Linked DNA regions of Struthio camelus. The protein of the gene in region 1 interacts with the protein of each later gene in a biochemical or structural test. Links are inferred from orthologs where the notes say so. Each region holds a gene or a part of one and is shown on either strand. Other genes may lie near its edges.

What was found.
Region 2: the proteins of LRRK1 (region 1) and BAG5 form a complex in vitro, tested with the Homo sapiens proteins (2 studies listed by BioGRID and IntAct, with this or other methods). The link is inferred for Struthio camelus from reciprocal best matches to the Homo sapiens genes LRRK1 and BAG5.

Annotation. Positions count from the first base shown.
Region 1 is NC_090953.1:4,465,047-4,475,167, forward strand, and holds the start of LRRK1 (leucine-rich repeat serine/threonine-protein kinase 1), read right to left. Parts: upstream 3,994-10,121; 5' UTR 3,804-3,993; intron 1-3,803. Other genes in the region: ALDH1A3 (retinaldehyde dehydrogenase 3), read right to left, coding at 9,065-9,137.
Region 2 is NC_090946.1:72,464,856-72,474,792, forward strand, and holds the start of BAG5 (BAG family molecular chaperone regulator 5), read right to left. Parts: upstream 4,338-9,937; 5' UTR 4,245-4,337; intron 3,608-4,244; 5' UTR 3,580-3,607; coding exon 2,227-3,579; 3' UTR 1-2,226. Other genes in the region: COA8 (cytochrome c oxidase assembly factor 8), read left to right, coding at 4,417-4,542, 5,022-5,219, 6,509-6,572, 8,442-8,532. UniProt on the Homo sapiens protein: Co-chaperone for HSP/HSP70 proteins. It functions as a nucleotide-exchange factor promoting the release of ADP from HSP70, thereby activating HSP70-mediated protein refolding.

The DNA.
Region 1 (10,121 bases):
CATCTTATGCAAATATAAACACAATTAGTTATACAATAGCTTTGTTAAGAGCATAATGTGAATTAACAGAGGAGTCTAACAACGTCTCCACTATAGAAAAGATAATGTTCCCAATTTTTCTCAGCCAAAGCTGCTCAGTATTTGTTCTGAGGGGGTGGGCAGGGGTCACAGCTGCAGTTTCAGATTCTCCACAAGCTAGTGTAAATTCAGAGCACTGAAATGATGCAATGCAGCTGGAAAAATCCTAACTGCAACCTCAAAATCTTTCCCGTTCACAAAGACGACTGTGACTCTTGTAAGACTCTACTGTGAGAAACTGAAAAATACTGATGTGGTTACTGATGTGGAGACAATCCTCTACAGAAAGAAAAAAGAGCTAAGAGGAACACACAAGCTTCTTTCCCCTTTGCCCAGTCATTTCAGAGAACTCTAATACCATGAAAACAGCAAGCTGCTTCAAACGTGGGCATGGAGGCAAGTCAGACCCTTAAGTACTCTTAAAGGTTGCCTTCTCTTAAATTGCCTTGCATAAGAAGCAGCAGAAGACCGAAGAGCTCAATCCGCCGCGGCATTTCCAACCTCTTCCCTCTTTAGAGCTGCACACCTGTGATTTTCTTTCCCTTAACGCATCTTCCACAGAGGTTAAGGCTAGGGGTGGATTTCCGGTGTGTGCCCAACTGGCATCACTGTTCCTTCATCTTCTCCTTTCAGTTTCAGTCTGTAAAGGCCTCTCCAACATGACACGATGCCCCTCACCTCTGGTTCTAATTAGACTTTCTCGTGTCTGGTGTTGTGATGCTGCAGTGTTGAGCAGAGGCTCTAATTCAGCCAAGCGCACGTACCCAGGTTGGCCAGCAAGACCAAGTATACCGTGAACCCTGCCTGAACAGAGCTGCTCTCTTGGGCTGGGATCAAAGAGCAAGGAGAATATAAAAATACACCCATCCATCACCACTCTCCAGGCAGCCTCCTGCTCTCCCCCCATTAAATAGGGTTTTAACAACGAGCTGACAACGTTACCAAATCACCCAACCCTCTATCAGTAGTTTCTAGGCGAACATCTGCGCTTTGGGTGCAGGTATGGTAAAATTCAGTTTCTGATGACCCTTGCGTTGTGGTGGCCAGCAGCGAGAACCAAACCGCCCCACGCACGCCCCTGCCTCCTGCATGTGGAGGAAGCCACCGGCTGCAGTTTGTGGTTCTTTCGTGCTTTTCAAAGGCAGGAAAAAAAGGTGAGTGCTTTTCAAAGGTGGGTGCTGCAAATAACACAGGTTGAGCTGCCCGGATCAGACTCCACACAAGCCTTTCGCACGCACCCCACAGCCAAACGCCTCCTCCTCGGTGGGCCGGATGGCCGCAGCTCCCGCTGCACGCCAGCAACAGAGCATCCCTCTCTCTGTCCCCGTCACGGAAAATGGCGGCAGTGGCTCATCTCTCAGGACAGCCCTGGCGTGATGGACAGCGTGGAGGTGCCACGGAGGTCTCACGGGAGGCTGTAACCCTTTCGAGCACAGATAAGACTGCTACTGTGCTGTTTGTGCCGCCCAAAAGCTGCCCCGGCCGTTTATCCTGACAACGGAGGGGACATGATGTTTCCAGCGCTGGCAGCTGCCCTCTCTGCACCCTCACTGTAAATGCGCTGAGCAAGTACCGTAAAAAAGAATATGTCCCCATGCAAAGGCCAACAGAATAGCTCTTTTGGCAGATGCTGGGTTTTGCGTGGCCTTCCCTCGCGGTACAGCTAGGGCACGCTGTGCACACCTGCAGCGATCGTGGGAGAAATACCGGACTGGGGTCAGTATGCACCACGGAGGTTTGAAAACACTCCCAATTTCAGGATTTCTACCCAGCTTCATACGTAGTGAAAGCAAAAAACTTTCAGGAAAGATAATGGGAGTGACGTTGGTAACGGGTACAAACTGAACCACAGGCAGCTCCGTCTGAACATGAGGAAAAACTTCTTCACTGTGAGGGTGACTGAGCACTGGAACAGGTTGCCCAGAGACAACCTGTCCCGAGTTGGACTAGATGATCTCCAGAGGTCCCTTCCAACCCCAACCGTGCTGTGAATCTGTGATAACCAGTCCCCTTTCACTGTGACTAGCACACCAAACGCCTGAACCATAAAGGTATTATTGCCACAAAGCACCCCTGCAAGGAGTACTGCCTGTGCATCTCTGTATTTCACTACCTTTGTTTAGATAATAAAAACCATCCCTGAAGTGCTTTTACCCAAAGTTACCAACAATATGAGCTCAGCTGTAACACCTGCAAAAAACATTTAAATTTGATTTAGGGACGGAGAACTCCTGAAAAAACAGCGTACTACTTGGGATCCTACAGGCTGGGCAGCCCATTTGGAAGGAGCGGGACGGAGAAGGAATACATCCCAACGCTGATTTACATCCCATTTCACACAGCCCCAATTTCTCTCCTGAGGCGCTATTATTGCTGGCTTTTAGCTAACGTCTAGAGAAGTTAATGTCTGCTTTTCTAAGGAAGATATTTTCCACGGGTAGCATCGTTCATTGTGGAGCACTTCCCAGAGCTCAGTTAAGGCTCCTGTTACTCCTTGGCTCGTCACCCCCAGCTGCAGATCGTCCGGGTGAGGAGGGCTGGCAGCCCAGGCCCCGGTGGGACGCGTGCACACCCTGGGCGGCTCTGCAGGTAAGGTGGTCCCGAATGCAAACAGAAAAAGGACAGCTGGACCCAAGCTGCTCTCCGAGCGTCCCCGCCGCGCGCTCCCCAGCATATCCGACCGTGTCTGTACCATCTCGAGATCCTCCTCTCAGCTCCTCCAGCCAAGCCAGGCTTGCTGCACGCGCATCGAAGCGCGGTCAGGCACCCAGACACGCCACAGCTTACCCGAGGTCACCTCCCAATCGGGGGAAACCCTCCAGAAACAAGTCCTTTACTCAAACCACCTACTCTTTCTCGAGAGGTCCACTTAGCCTTAGGAGCTGCGTTAAGACGCGCGGGGCAACGCCGCGCGCCGGAGCAGGCGGCCGAGGCCGTCGCCGACGGCCCGCGGGCTCGTTCCTGCGCCGTCGAGAGAGAGGCGCGGGGCCGAAGCCGCGCCTGGAGGCTGAAGCGCTCCGTTTGACGGCGGCGTAACCCACCGCCTCGCGCGGGGACCTCCCTGCTAGGGGCAGCTAGGCGAACCTCCGAGCCGCGCCGCGGCCTTCGGCAGCTCCGCGCGGAAGAAGAACCGCCGCTCCCTCCTCCACAGGGCGGACGGCGAAGGAGGCATACAGCATCCTTGCCCTCGGGAGGGCGGGAAACGGCTGCAGAAAGCTCCCAAACCGGACCCGGCCTGCCAAGCTCCCTTCCCGCTCGTCCTCCGGCGTGAGGCCCCCGCGCCCGTCTGGCGACGAGGCGAAAGAAAACCCCAACGCGGGGTTTTCTCGCTGCCGAGCACCTGGCGAAGGGCGTGAGGGAGCCGGGGCGGCCTCGAGCTGCGGAGGAGGAGGAGGAGGGAGGGCGCGGAGCCGGGTGGCTCGGCGGGCAGCGGCGGCAGGAAGGCGGCAACGGGCTGCGCGTTACACGCCGCCGCCGCCACCGCCGCTCGGCGCCCGGACATAAAAGGAAGTTTTTCCTTACGGCTCCTCGCAAGTATTTCCTTTCCCCCCATCGCCGGCTCCCAAGCACGCCCGCTTCCCCCCAAGTTCCGTCTAAACTCTTTGCTTTTTTTCCTTTTTTTTAAACCCTTTTGGTGCCCCCCCCCCCGCCCTTCGCAGCCCGCCCGGCGCACCCCGCGCCCCCTCAGCGCAGCCCCGGCGCGGGGCAGGTGCCGCCCGCGCTACCTCCTGCCTGCGGGGTCCCTGCGCCGCCGTCACCGCCTCCTCCTCCTCCTCCTCCTCCGGCGCCGGCCGCCCGCCTCGTCGCTCTGCGGCGCGGGAGGCGGAGGGAGGAAGGAAAAGGGAGCGGGGGCAGAAGCGCGGCGGCGCCTCCTCCGCCACCGGGCCCGCCGGCGCGGGGTCAGGGCCCGCCCGCGGGCCCCACCACGGCCGCCGCCGCCGTCCCAGAGGCCTCCGCGCGGGCCCTGGCCGGGCTGCGGGGCTCCATCTTGTGCCGGCCCCGGCGGCGGCGGCGCGGTCGGCCGCTGCCTGCGGCTCCTCGGCGCGACGGGACGCGCTCACCCCGTCAGCGAGCTGCCCTCTTCGGGCGGCTGCTACGCGGGCTCACGCCATTGGGGTTCGGTTTTGTTGTGTTTTGTGTTGTTCCCCTCCTCCCCCCCCCCCGGAAAGGTCTGTCTGGAGTTGTCGGGGTCGGAAGCAGGACCGCGTCTCTCAGCCCCAGCAGGTCCCTCGGGTGGCGTCGCCGTCACCGCAGCCCCCCGTGTCGCGTCCCGCATGTTTCTCGGAGCTCTTGGCGCTGCCTTCGGCCCTCGCGCGGATCCCTTCTCTGGGTCTGCTTCTCCGCTGAGGCCCGGCCCTAGCGCCAGCGGAGTTAATCGCAGATTGTGTCTTTGCAAGCTGCTCCTCTCCCGGCTGGGGGAAGAAGCCTACCGCTTTTTGGAAAAACAAAGCAAGGTTGCCCCCTCTCTTCTGCAGGCGTTACGCTCTCGCTGCGCTCCCCATCGCATAGCCCTTCATCTCCTGCTACCAGGAAACTCTCCCAAGCCTGATGGGGCTTTTTCTTCCCCACCCACTGGACCAGCTACGAGAACACCGTTTTTGCGTGCCCTTTATTTTACTGTTCGTGACGACTCCTTACATTACCTACACAGCTTTTTTCTTCCTTGGCCCCACAGAAGAAAGGGATCTCCGATGATCGCTTGAGGATGGGAGTAGCCATATCCATCCTCTGACTAGTCTTGAGGTTTGTCCTAGGGTGTTCTCGTGCTGTGATTGTGGAGATAGACAGAGAGGATGGGTCCTCGTCGATGCTTTCACTTGGGTTCGAGTGCCCGTGAACCCCGCTTCTAGCTGCAGCCCTAGCAGTGTTACCCATCTGGCGCCCTTCTGTCCGGGCTGCTGTCTTTTACGCCTCACAGCCTGGCTCTTATCCAGACCTTTCTTGCAGCCTTTTCCACCCAATTGTTTGAAAAACCACTAACATCACTTAGTTTTGCCTTTATTTTGATAAACACTGTCATTTCCCCGAACGAGAATTTCTCCAGACAGTCAGGCTAAAAAAACTTGGTTTTTTTTTTTCCTTTCTAAATTTCATCCCAGGCTCCCTGGCTTATGCCTCCATCGATTATGTCACTCACAATCATTTCTTTGCATCTCCAGCCTTCACCTTTTCCATGTTTAGTGTCACAGCTTCTGAGCGATGCCGTTTGCAAGTGCAGGAAAAACTCAAGGGGGTTGGCTTGGCCTAGGTAGGGAGCTGACAGCGGTTGGTATTTTTCTCACACGCGTGTTACCAGATGCGAGCAGTGAATGCCGGACGAAAGGCAACGATATCAGTGCGTTCTCGCTTGCCGTCCGCGTGGCAGATGAGGGAAATTGGATAGGAACGGGACAGGGTGGAGCAGAGTCATGAGAGTGAGGGATGCGTCTCACAGGGTTTAGCAAGCCGGACCGAGGCAAGGAGCCTCATCTGGCAGGGTGGTCCCCAGCCCCTTGCCTTTCAGGCTCACCCCAAGAATGGGAGAAGGATCCCTCCTACTTCAAACTGGCAGAAGCTGTGCTTGCCCCTGCCAGCTGCAACCCTGCTCCCTCACCTCCCCCACCCCGTTTACTGGAAATGGCACAACTTAACAAAAGCAACTGCTTAGATAATAAGCTAACAAACACACGCTCTAGCTTTTGTTTGTAGAGCACTGACCACACTTCAGCCCTTTACTTCCCTTGCCTTTTTTAAAATAGGCTATTCTTCACAAAATGCAGAAGTGAATTCAAGTTCAGATTCCTTCTCAGTCCCCCAGTGAGATACTGAATCCCCACATCCACAGATGCACAAACACACTCTGCATTCAGTCCTGCGATGTGCGGAAGGTATCTTGAAGTTACATCGCCCCTTGTGAGCCCAGGGCACGTTCCTGTTTGGGGAATCCCGCTGGCTCACTGACTCGAGGGGAACAGACAGAGCGCTGTTCTGAGAAGAGCCCCCTGCAACTAGAGCAATACAGGGCCATTTTGTTTCAGAAGCATGAAACCTTAACCCTTTCCAGTGTTTGCTTTTAGTGTCGCAATGGGCCAAATTCAGAGATGAAATGAAAAACAGACAGGAGGACTGAGTCGAGTGGAAGGGGGGGGCGCTGATGGAAGGGGTCTTAACACTTGCGTTAGAGGGGCCAGAATTTTCTTAAGGCACTAATCAGCGTACATAAAAAAGGATTACAGTTACTTCTCTGTTAAAACGAGTAAAGTCAGTAGAAGTGTGTCCCTTTCAGTCATCCTTCCTAGGCAATACCAGAATACAGTATTTAGAAACTATACCACAAAGTTAAACATTTATTAGGAACAAGAGAACTATTACAAAAAGATACCCATATTCTAAATATATACATGAGGTTTAAACATAGCATTTCCATGTACCTTTAACTATAAAAATACATTAGATTAACTGTATCCTAATTTATAAATATAGTTCTTTTCTTTAAAAAGTAGTATTTCATATGAAAGCCTTACTGTGCAATGAAAGAATATATACCCTCTAAGGGGTTACTTTAAAGTTAGTGTCTAGTGTTATATAACTTAGATAATTCAGTGTGTAGAGTCAAACCCTGATTTATACAATAAGAGATACATTGACTTTTTTTTTAAACTTGATAGGGGAAAAAAAGAGGTGAAATATACATTATACATATAAAGGCAGACTACTAGGATTTTAAGAGTACCAGATGATTTCCATTTCAACCACTGTTTATCAAAAATGAATATAGAAGCTACATCAAAATAACCAGCCTTTTACTATTTGCCTCGCCTCCCTGTTGTCTGACTGCAGCCCTAGAAAACCATCAACTTGGCAAAAGTAAAATGTTTGTCTGAGAAGATGTTTGCACTCTAAGTGTATTACAAAAATAGAAGCTTATTTACAGTTTTCCCATTTGGCCTTTCATGGGGTAGGCAGGACATTTTCTTCACCAGATGGGGAGACTTACCTGTGGAAGCCCTGTCTCACATATCCACCGGAAGACAGGCACTCAGCTGTACACAATTGTTGGAGGTATGTCATTTGAGAAATTAAGCAGTGTTGAAGTGCAGTTTCAATGTTCACTAACTAATAAGGAAGTTTAGGCCCATGCAAACATTCTCCTTACTCATCACCACCCACCTTCCTTCCCCCTCCAAAAAAGGTCCACACATGCAACAGCACTTGTACTGACTGGGTACATCTCTGATCAGAGGAAATTACTGGTTAAATCCCTGCTTGCTTCAGGGACTACAGACTAGACCTGCATTTCTGCTTCAAGCCCTGACACCCGGAAAACTCCCAGCAATGATCTTTACCAGTGCTCCATAGCGATCTGTAGATAATTCACTAAGGAACATGCATCAGTTTGCTCTTAGAGGACGAACCCAAAGGGATCAGCCAAAGTTCCCACTCAGCTGACCCCACTACCTACCACGTACTTACAGCCCGCATCGACATGGAGCTTCCTGTAGGTTTGCCAGTGGTTCTTCAGTACAGTATCAGGGGTGAGGGAAGTAGCAAACCCAGGAACTGAAGACAGCATATGGCTTTTCCTTAAGCCCACAGTAAGTAACATCTGCAAAGAAGTTAACTGCAGGATATACTAAGGTATGAACTTAGTGTGACAGCCGCTCCATGGATGCTATTTGTGTGCATGCTTATACAACTGTAAACGAGGGAATGCAAGGTAGTTTATTCCTCAGTGAAGGACCAGTTACTCCGTTTGCCACAAGATGATAGGACTCACAGGGACAATTGCTGCAGAGCTGCTGACACATTTAAGTCTGGCCACATCTTATTCCACGGTAACTGGTTTGTACACCCACCTCTTTAGCATTCAGTATATGCTTAGGAGCACCTGCCTTTTCATACTGTGCTTCCAGAAATCTACTTTAAGCTACACTCGTAAGGGAGAAAGAAGCAGTGAGGATAACTTGTAAGTTTTACTCACATAATTAGCTCTGGCTCAAAAATGAGATGTCCACACAGTCTGAAAGTGACAGAGCAAGACACAGCAAGACAGCTTTTTGCAGCACTTTTGCTCCCTGCCCTCAGATCAGTAGGACGGGCTTGGGTCTGTGTGCCGTGGATGTTTTCCATGGGGTATCTACCATGCTACATGCTTAGCATTCAACTCTGTGTCATCACGGTAAGTACAGTGCAAAATCCTCTTGCAGAAAGTGCTATAGCGAAGCTTTGAGATACCGTTGTGACTCATTTGGAGCCAGAGGGGCTAGCAAGTCAGTAACTTGCATGTGCAGCACGTGTATGCATGTACAGCAAAACATCTAGTTCATAGGACACTTTAAAGTCTAGCTACATTGGGTGAAATACTGGCCCCAAAGGATTCATCTAAGAAACTTCCATAAACCTCATTCAGGGCTAGAATATCACCAATATGGGGGATGCAAGTATCTTTAGAGAGACCAAGATAGCTCTTTCAAACAGAATTGCTTTACAGTTCCTTTCGTGAAAGCTTACACTCCCATCTAAAACTCTGATTGCAGTCTTCACACAAACTCTTATCAACTTCAGTTATATTAGCCCTACGCTCAAGTCCATTTATGCCAAGTGAAACCCATACGCCTCTGAAGGTGTTTAACAATCCATGCTAACGGTACCAGAAGTCACTCTAACTTGCCATTGACGTCCAAGTCCTTCAGGGGCACGTTTTGAAAAGCAGATGTCCTGAAAACACTGACCAGTATTTTAATCACAGGTAGCAGACTATGCAGCCAGGGACTTGCGTAGTACAAGCGTGTGCTGTGCTGCCAGTAGGGTCAGTTAAATCAGTTTTTGAAGAGCTAGTTGACAGAATGGCGTCCAGTAGATTCAGTGTTTCTAGAGGAATAAAGTAAGGTGTTTCTCCAAACAAGTGCTGTTTCGATTTTCCTTCCTACCCCTCCCCTCCCCCTTGCTCTGAACACGTCCCCCATGTGTCACATTCAGAGTGTCAGCATTTTTAGGCCTTCTGCTTTCATGGACTCTTCTGGGAGAGTTTAATGGTGACTGTTTTCACTTCAGTATATTCTGCCAAAGCATATTCACCACTGCAAAAGAAGGGGGAGAAGGGAAAGGGACAAACAGTTGTAGCTTGTTAATATATACTTCCTCAAGATAAGAGGTTTCTACACAAGTGCAACTTAGTCGCAGACCAACAGCTGCTGTAAACAATATCAGGCCATTTAAAACCAGATCTGAACTAATGTACGCCAGCTGTCAGTCTGGCCCACCATGTCTAATTATCACTGTGTACATGCACATACATACATACACTAATACACCCTGCCTGCCATAAAAGAAACAATGAATGCTTCAGGTTGCAGTAAACCACAAGTTGACACTTCAGGGCTCCCAGCCTAATGAAAGTGAGTACTGTTGTGAGATCCTATAGAAGAAGCATCCATATGAATATAGTTATCGGTGATTAAACAGTAATTATAGTTACACTCCTTCATAGGAAGTAAGCTTCTGTCTACAAGATACCACATATCGGGAGGGCACAGTGGACTCTTACTATTCAGCCTAGAAAACTGCATTGCTCCAAAAATGCAAAGTGATGTCAGACCAAACCACCGTATACGTCTTAGCTGGTGGGAATTGGCTCCGTTCCCATGCCTTGCCCAAGGGATAAACCCCTGACATCCTTTAATTAGCCAGGCAATCAGGCAAAGTGAAGCATAAGGTCTCACTCAATAAGTATATCCCTTTTGAGGATTCATTCATTTGCTGGGCTTAGCATGTGAGGCATCTGAATGTCTCAAAGCAGCCCACAGATAACATCAGAACAGCTCCTGGGAACTGCTCCCGGAAATAAATCTGCTTGTGAAAGAATAGGTGCGTTAGATTCCTCTGAAGAGTCTTCCAAATGGTGTAATAAAACCTGCCTCTCTCCTGTACAAGAAGAAAATTAAGATTTAAGTCTATTTCTCAACTCTTCCTCTAGCTTACAGCGTGACCTCGTTTTACAATTTTCTGCATTAGGAACTCACCAGCTAAAGCTGGAATGTCTGGTGGCCATGCTGCAACAGATC
Region 2 (9,937 bases), on another chromosome or scaffold:
TCACATAACCTCCAAAGAACACAGATACTAAAATAATTGTTAAACAATCTACCACTTTAAATCACTGCAGACCTGACAGTAAGATTAAAGTGAATAATATTATCACATTATTAAATTCTTAAATTTCCTAAAAATTTAGGTATACATTAGAAGTTGCAGTTCAAACATGTAGGAAAGCTTGAAATGAGTAAAATAATTTAGGTGTGTAACATCATTAATCATCTGTGTTAACCACACAATATGTAAATATAGATAAGAATTTTACCTAGAAGAAATGATTTTTTAAGTAAAGACAGATAAATTCAACAGGGTCATGTCTCTAAAGAATCCTCCAACAAATCTTCTGACATTGCCAAATTGTGCCTTAGGTACTGTACTTAATTGGAAAAAAAAAAAAAAAAAGATTGTTTTTGTCAACTGAATTGCCAAGAAATCACCTGTACAGTCACAAACAAAATATTTCCATGCTCTGAAGTTACACAGCCTTGCATCAACATCTGAAAGCATGTTATGGAGTAAATATCATTCTCCCCTTCTTGTAGTAATAGGCACAGAAAGACCTGCCCACACTCCCTAATCTCCATATCAACACATCCATTTTCAAACAGAATCTGTATTTCCCAAATTGGTGACTCACTATCGAGTCTCCAGAGAACAACTGTCACCTATTGTATTATGTTAACTTAACATATATTATAGTGGAATGAGATATAGGATAAATCTAGTGGGTAAAGATTACAGCTCCATCAAGCTGCCAGTCAGCAGTTCCTATGTCTACATACGATGGTACAAGTCAAAGGTGTCATAAAGGCACTTGTCTCTCACAGAAGTATCGTCTTCTCTAAGGAGTTAAAAATATATCTAAAAATAGTTTTAATTTAACATCCAAAATTGTTTATACTCCTTACAGTGGTGCAAATAATCATCTACAGAACAATAATTTACAAATTCAACATGAAAGAACTAAGTGCAAAATATCCATAATTAAATATTGATCCATTTAATTTTAATGCCATGCTCTCAAAAATGCCAAAACACATGCTACTGTAGAAATGTCACTGATGCTAGCAGCTACAAATAATAAGGGAGGCTCCTAGAGCAGTATAAGCAAGCTTATTTACTAAGTTACTAAAACCATTAAGCGATGAGTTGCAAAGAGAGATATATGCCACAGGTCTTTTCCAAGTCATGCTTGAAGCCACACCTGACCGATATGAAATACATAATACACATTTAAATCATTAGGGACACCTCTATAGCTACCTAATTTTACAAAAATAATTCTGAAATGCTCATTCATTTCAGCGTGACTTCTATTTTTACCAAATGTGAAAAAGACTAGTCAAAAGCAAATCTAACAGCAGAGTTTAAAAAGACCCTAAGTAGCCACTAAAGAAAGTTCAGTGCATTTTTCAGGGGTTTATGGAGAGCAGTATGAAACCCTACAAATCCCATTTATCTAATCAGTGTATGTGCACAGATTTTCCTCTCCAAGTCTCATTTACCTCAAAGCAAGAATTTGAGGGAAGTTTCCACCAACAGAAGGAAAAAACCCTGCATTTGCAAACAGAACGGGTCAGATATTACAAAAACAGACCTAATTGGCTTTGCCTATGTAAATGCTAATTTGCAGTTGGCATTATAGTTCTGCTAGGTAAGAAATCTAAACACCCATAAAGGTATGCTGGATGGAATAAATCAAGTATGACTCAAAAGCCAGCAGTTTTTTGCATTTAATACTTTCCATCATAACAGCACATTAAGAGTATATCCAGACTGCTATGAACTTGCTGGATAGATCCTCATGCTTAAGCGCTAATTTTTATGCCCAGTCTTCTTGAAGTAGTTCTGCCAGTCCTATACCATAAGGCAGTTTCTGCACCTTTGAAAAAGCTGCACTCTCTAAACATTGCACAAGATTATCACAACAAAAACAGGGAAAAAAGCCCATTCGACCAGGTATTAAGCCATTCCTTCAGAGGATCACATTTCTTTGCTTGACAGCAATGACCAGAATTGCTGATGGTGTACTGACAGTTGCCATGGCAAGTGGGTGAGCGCGTGGGATAGCAGACATATAGCCAAGTCAACTTCTTATGCAATTGCCATGATTTAAGCAAACATACAACACATCACTTTTAATCACGTGCTGCCAATTGAACTATCAGTCTGCAGAAAGCACCAAAGGGGAAAAAAAAAGGTATTTTCTGTTAGACTATGGCTGTTTCAGTACTCCCATTCATCTGTTTTCATATCCAGATAGTAAAGAATGTTCTGTGCAAGCTTCACTGCTTGCTTTCTGGCAGCCTTAACCCGCTCATCACCTTGTGGATCAACAGCATCGAGTGCTAGAAGTTGCTTTGTAAGAAGCTCTTCCAGTCTCATGTAATTTTTATCCATTCTGTTTCCATCAAATGAAATCACTTCCTGCTGAATTTGAGACAAGTTTCCAAGAACGCCCCAAACTGCTTTATGAGATTGATGTTCAGCAGCAGTTTGCTCAGGATACATTTGCCTTTTTTCAAGCGCTTCCTTTAAATCAATATACGTTATCAGAGTCTGCACTTCTATTACTGCTCTTCTCCTGGCTTCTCTAATACAGGGGTTTTTCCCTGGACTGACTTCATCTAATTGGGCAATTAATCCTTGCAGTTCTGCCTTGGATCCCAAATACAAGTCAGAAGCATTCTCTGTTTTTAAAAGTAAAGAATTAACTTCCTTCATTTTCTTGCGGATTTCTTCTATTTTTAGAATGGACTGATTTTGTGCCAGGTCATAAGCATGAGTAGAATTTGCTTCCTCCTCCAAGTCCAGATATTTCTGCAGTTTATTGATCTCTTCGACTACTTCCTTTCTGTAGTTCCTTATTTCTGTGCGACCACAGACATCTAAAGCATCCAAATCAGCAATCAAGCCTGTGAGCACGCAGGATAAATGCCTGCAGGTATCATTGCTATTAACTCCCATTAGAAGTGCAATAAGAGTTCCTCTAGCTTTGTTCACATCACACATTACAGAGTTAATTTTGGAGACAGAAGGATGTGCATCATTAGAGAGTGGTAGGGACAGCTGTTGCTTTACACAGCTTTCTATAATCTCCTGAACAGCGCATACTTTCGTCAGAGTGCGATATCTTGCTTTGCGTAAAGAAATTTTCCCTCCAGTTTTCACCTGAGTAAGCCTCAATATAACGTCCTGAATACCTTCTTCAAATTCATCACTTATACAGTTGCCTCCTTTGTAAAAAGGTGTAATCTCACGTTCCACAAGCAACTGTGCTTCCTTGAATATAGCCTCTATTTCCAGTCTGTGGGGATGGTTTGCATTTTGTTCCAGTTCCTTGAGTAGCCTCTCCGTTTCCTGAGCCGCACGCTTTCTGGCTTGCTGAATATCTCCTTTTCCTTCAGTATCTACGGAATCTATTTCAAAAAGCTGTTTAGTAAGAGTCCTTTCTAGTCTCTTATAATCTTTGTCAGTAGACAAGCCACTGAAGATGACAACTTGTTGTTCGATCTCTTTGACTTCTTTCTGTATTTCATGCAACCGTTTTATGGATGGATGTTGGTTGCCCATATCCATTCTCCTCTTTCTTCCAGTTTCAGATGAACTACAAAGAAAGTCAGGAAAAGACGTACGATTAATAAAACGCTATGCGGGCATTTCGTTCCGTGGCGGCCTGAGACACCTCAGCAGGGCAGCTACTTAAATCCCTCTATCAAGAGGAGTTAAAAACAAAAACAAAACCGTGTCCGGTACTCTGCAGCCGTTCCTCTGTTCTTTCACACCTCCGGCCGCGGCGGGGGGAAGCCGAGGGATGCCACAACAAGCTCGGGGCGTTTACCGGAGAAGTTCAGCCTTGCCCTCGCGGCCGGCTCTGGGCGACAGGGCAGGGCGGCAGCGCGCCGCAGACCCGCTCTCGCCGCGCCGCGCCCCCGGCCGCCGCCCGCCGCCTCCAGCCGGCACAGGCCCCGCAGGGCCTCCCCCCGGCGCCGCCGCCTCAGGCCGCGCCGCCCCCGGCCGCGGCGCCCCGAGCCGGGGCGGAGGGCGGCCAGGCGGCGCCCGCAGATCACAATGGGCCGCTGCTGCGCCAGCCCCCGGCCCGCGGCGGCGGCGGCGGCACCCGAAGGGGGTCTCCCACCCGCCGCCGGGCCCGCGGCGCACAGCGCAGCAGACCCGCCCGCCCGCCCGCTCGCTCCGCCGCCGCCGCCGCCTCCCTGCCCGCAGGCCCGGCCCGGCCGCCTCACCTGTCTCGCCCGCCGGCCCGCTGTCCCGGCGCTGCGCCACGGGCCGAGCGGCAGCCGAGGGCCGCACGCTCCGCTCCGCTCCGCCCCGCCCCGCTCCGCCCCGCTCGGCTCCGCCAGCCCCCGGCCGCGGGGCGCTCAGCGCCGGCGGTTCCCTGAGCGCCGTAAAGCGGCGATGGCCGCGACCGTTAGGGCGGCGGCGGGCGCGCGGCGCCTGACGGGGGACGTTGGGTGCCGCTGCCTCTCCTCGGCCGGCGGCGGCGGCGGCGGCGGGACGGCGGCTGAGCGGCCGGAGAGCGGGGTAAAGCCGTGCGGGGGGCAGCTCGAGGCCGGGCCCGGTGCCGCGGGGGCAGCCGGCGGGACGGGACGGGACAGGGCGCGGGCGGCGGCCCACTCGGCTCGACCCGGCCGGGCCCGGCTCCTCCCGGCTGCGGGGACAGAGCTGAGGCCGCGGGCAGGGTCTCCTGCCGGGGGAGCGCCGGTAAGGTAAGCAAGCAAAAGAGCAGGATTTGGGGCTTATCTTAATTACTGTTATTTATCATGATTCCTATCTGTCGGAAGAGTTAAAGGTATCTTTTCTGTAATTCATCTCCAAACGTGAGTGAGTCATGAGCGTATGACAGTTTTCAGTCAACATGAATGAATGTGCATGACTTCTGACCTTGCTGCGTGTTTTAAGGTTATATCCAGTCGTGTGGAGTTGCGGGATTTGTTTCACATCAGGCTCTTCCGCAGAAATTGCGCTAAAGTGGTGATAATCCTTCTGTATGTATTTTTAAGGGATCGGGTTTCTGCCCTCCAGCACATTCTTGTAACGATTGGATTGGCCCGCCCGACAAGTACTCAAATCTCCGACCAGTAATCTTCTATGTTCCCCAAAATGAATCCCTGCTGGAGCGCCGGCTCAGGGAGCTCAGAGAGGAAACCCAGGCTTGGAACCAGCGGTTCTGGGCACGCCAGAACGTGTCCTTCCAGCAGGTGAGCGGGCAGGGGAGGGCTGCGCCGCGCGCCGCTGCCCAGCCCCCGCAGCCTTTGGGGTGCTGGCCCTCTGCAAGCAAAGGCGTTCCTGTTCTCCGTTAAAAGGATTTGATGACTGCGCAGTAGGATGACCTTGAGCGATGATTCCTGCGTTATATGGCTATCCCAAATAGCCAAGTTCACAAAATTATGATTTTTCCCTTCACAAACTAGCATTAAATTCTGCCTTCAGTTACTTATCTCTTGCTTTTAATTGCTACTACAGCTTCTTTTAATAAGTTCACTGTCTTTGGGGAAATTCCTTTTTGTCATTAATTTTATTCTCAATGTTAGTTTGTTTAAAATGACCTACAAAACTGAAGAGCTTATGTATTTTACTGCTGTTTAGTGTATAAAAGGATATTTGCTTTTTCTTTTTTCTATTTTGCACTGAAAAGGTAAAGTTGTAACCACCTTTACATGCAAGACCTGTAATATTTGACTAGAGCTGCTTTTGAAAATGATTCTGCAGCTTTTTTTGCTCTACCGTAAGTGAGAAAAGTATAGGTAAGACCACTGAGGGTAAATGAGGGATGTGCGCTCTTGCACTGGCAATGTACCCCTAACAAGGCGAAAAGGGGGGACGTTTTCAGTCTTGGTCTTTCTTTTAAACATTGTACCATGGGTAAGGACACACCAAATTCTGTTGGAAGACTAGCAACAGTCCAGTAATTCACCATCACTTGTGATGGTCTTCGATCATTGTATTGTCCCCAGACTTGCAAAGGTCTTGGAGTAAGTGGAGCATGCTTTTTTTTTTTTTTTTTTCCCCCCTTAATTAGCTAGAACTGCTTTTTAAATTTGAAAATTTGAAATACTAATAGTTATTCTTTTTCCATCTAAGTAATTTCAGTTTTCTAAGGTTGCACATTTTCCTGTATACTAAAATTCTAAAATAAGTAACACAGCAAGTCTTCATAATTTGTCTTTTGTAAAACTTTGCAAGATTTGGATCCTGCAAAACAATACTTAAGCTCAGCTATAACTTTACTTCCACAAATAAGTTGCGTATGTTTCAGCAGGACACTTGCATGAATTAATTGATGCACACAGTTAACATCGAAGCAACACAATTATCAGTGTAATTAAGTCACTGGATTCAGGAAAATGTTTTTTTGACATCTCCAAGTGCAATGAGTACTGTGTATATTTTGGAGGGTATTAAGCGCAAAGCTGGCATGTGATTAAAATCAATGGTTAACTTCAAGGACTGAGTACGTTAAGTTCTAATGTGGAAAAACATATTTTAGGAAAAAGAAGAATTTATTTATTCAAGACTGAAAGCCAAGGGTCTGAAAATGAGAGATGAAACAGGTCAGTGACATCTTTTTTTGTAGTTTAGGATGTGCTCTGAAATCTGTTTAATTTTTATTTTTGCCTGTTTATGCTCCTTTCAGGAGTCTAACAGAGAAGGAGGGGAGCTCTTGAAAGCTGTGCAGGTCAGATCTGCACAACTTCCCCCCTACCCTTCCACTGGAAGGAATGTGCTGAAATCCTAGCAAAGTAATTTCATCATTCTGTACCCTTAAGGGGGAAGGTTTTTTTTTTTCCTTTCACAGCTCATCGCCCCAGTGAACTAGCTGAGCCAAACATATACTGTTTGCCCCAAGCGCATGTTACGGTTGAGTGGATAGATTCACACTGTTCAGCCTCGGGTCGATAATATGTACAATGAACATGTTATTTTTCCTTGAGGGAGAATGAGCTTCCGAGGAGACAGCAGCTGCTCTTTGCCCTTCTTTGCCTGAGGACAGTTACTGTAAAATGTTTCCCTCTCTAACTCATTACATGAAATTGAAAACAAGAGGCCTTCGTAATACAGCGAGTTGGCCGTTGTAACATGAGGTTGAACGTTTTGTTCATAGAGTAAAGATCTGTTTTGGTTTGATAGAAAACCTGCTCTGATGTTCAGTATTTCACAGACCGTTGTGTTGCACTTTTATTTGTGTCCCAGTGATCACTTTGTAGTGGAGAAAGCATTGTAATTAAATTACATGTTATTAAGAAAAAGTTTATTTTATATTGCTGATTTGTTCTTTTAGGTTTTTATATCCTAGAAGTAAAAGAGAAGATAGTAAATTTGTACATTCCTTAAAAATAAAATTGCATTCAGTGCAAATGTTTGAGTAATTGGTTTTGTTCTACGCCATGGCCCTGCTGATGGGTGATGCTGGAGCAAAATTGTTGCTATCCACAGTCTACTTGTTTGGAAATTTTCACTGAAATCACAAGACACGTGTGTGTGTATCTCTCTTGGTAATAACCTATACGTATGTGCAGTTGGAACAATGGTTATTTCTCGTATATACACGAAGACTCGGTTAGTTCTGCTGATACCAGAATGAAGAAACAAATTAACTGTAGCTGTTAAGCAGGCAGCTTTCAAATGGTCTTACGATAAGTTTACCTCATGGAATGTTAATCCATTGTAATATTTTAAATTTGTAAATATTGACAGATAGTCGTGATCAATAATTTACCTTCTGATGATAAATCTCAGGAGCTTTAAATTCATTTTGAAACGCTAACAAGCTGAATCTCTCGATTCTGTCTCCCTCATCATATCTGAATGTCCCAGGGGATAGGGATTTGATGCTCGTTTTGGAAATATCAAAAGCGCCAGAAAGTTTATATAGGAAATATCTGGTCAGAATATCATCTGGTCCTCTGGATGCTTCTTCTGTGCTGTAGCCACACATTTTCCTTTCATGATCTGTGGAGAGAATCCATCTTCTCTTATATTCTGCATTATATGAGTGGCATATTCAGATTTTTTTTTTATATTTGTGTGTGTGCGTGTGTGTATATATATATTTTATTCAGGGATATGTTTCAGGTCCTGTCTTGAACTTACTTTTCCACAAGAGACTTGTCCACCCTATTGTTAATAAATCTGACAGCCCAGAGCAGATAATCTTTCATATGAGTTACTTGAAATTTACCAAAGGCAGCAGAAAGAATTGTACCATCAAATCAAAGTTTCAAGAGGATCAGCATTTTTAATCTGCTCTGCTCCCTAGATAGATTTTTAAAAAAATAGGGAGATAGAAGCATATTAACTTGTCTAGGGATACACAGGAAGCCTGTAGGAACAAGCAACCCGAACTAGCTTTCCTGAGTCTGCACCCAGTGTTTTAATCACAAGAGCTATCTTGACAACGTTATGCTAAAACTTATTTTCAGGTCAAAAAGCAACGCTGAATGCAGAAGAAATGGCTGACTTCTACAAGGACTTCTTAAGTAAAAATTTTAGAAAGCATATGCATTACAACAGGTATGTAGATGATTTTCTTGCTGAATATTATATTACTGTCTAAGTGAAGGGCATAACATCAAATAGAAAAATCAAACATTTTTTGCCATAGTTGTTAAAATAGCATCTAAAGCTATCATTTTAGAATTTGCAGAAAAATTTGAAAAAACGCTATTAGCATTTGACATGAACTTAGGCATAGTCATTTGAGTTCTTCCACTATGTATGTTTGATTTTATGGAAAGGTAGATGTTACGTCACTCTTTCCAGAGACTTTAGTGAGACAAAATCAGGCAGCGCTCTATTCCTAAACATGCCTGCCCTTGTTTTAAAATCAGGTAGTGCCAGCTGCATCATTGCAGTTACAAAGTGTAACTGCACAGCCTTGAAAACAGCGGAGTTTATTGTAGACGTTTTGACTTTTGAGGAGTCATATTTAAAAAAAAAAAAAAAATCCGTTTATGCCTTTGTCTCTATGTTCTCCTCTATTGTTGCCAGCTGGCCTGAAAACTGTGGCTGCGGAAGTGTTGAAATTTCTAAAATTTAGTTAAATTGAGAGAATGACTGTGCATAGACTGCTTGAATACATGTTTTAGAGTATTTAGACTGGAAACACTGTTAGAAAAAACAGAATACAAATTCAAGAAGGAAATAAAAAATAGGACAAGAAATGGGAAAAGAACAGTTGCAATGTGAGCATGATATTTTGATTTAACATGATTTTTTGGTGGGTAGCTCATATTGCTTGTCAGCATGATTCCCGGTCCTGTCCTTATAAACCCAAGATATAAGCCTCTTATATTAGATCTATGCGTGAAAGGTTTCCTATTGCAATCGGCTTGCAGACTTGAATCCCTGTCTCACATTCCCTGCTAGTTCTACCGTAAGCATATTCTACTGCTTCTTGTGCAACATTTTACAAAATGGAGGAGGGCTGCTTATTGGAAGCTAGAAGGGCATGACTGAAACAAGCCCTCCAGAGGTAAACGACTGATACAGATTATCTTACCTACATCTTGATTTGGTTCCGAAAGTCATGTATGCTTCATTAAAACTATGTAAAGATACAAAGACTCTAACTTTGGAAATACTAAGGGCATCATCTTTAGAACACACTGAATTAGGAACTAATGTTTTGCCATAGCTGGTTATAGTCTTTGAAGTGTGATTTTTATTTTTTCCACTTTATGGGTAACCAGCCACGTCATTTCCAACACACGCGTCTTCATACATGCACAAGCAAATCTCACCCATAGCACAGCATTGTGCATCAGTCAGCTTCGTAACCACCTTTACTTCTGAAACATGTGATTTGGTTATGGTTATTTTAGCTTACCTAATTTCAAATATAATTGATCATAATATTACTCATTCCTTTTTAAATTTTTACAGTTAAGCTCTGAATGGTTGTAGCCATATATTCTGC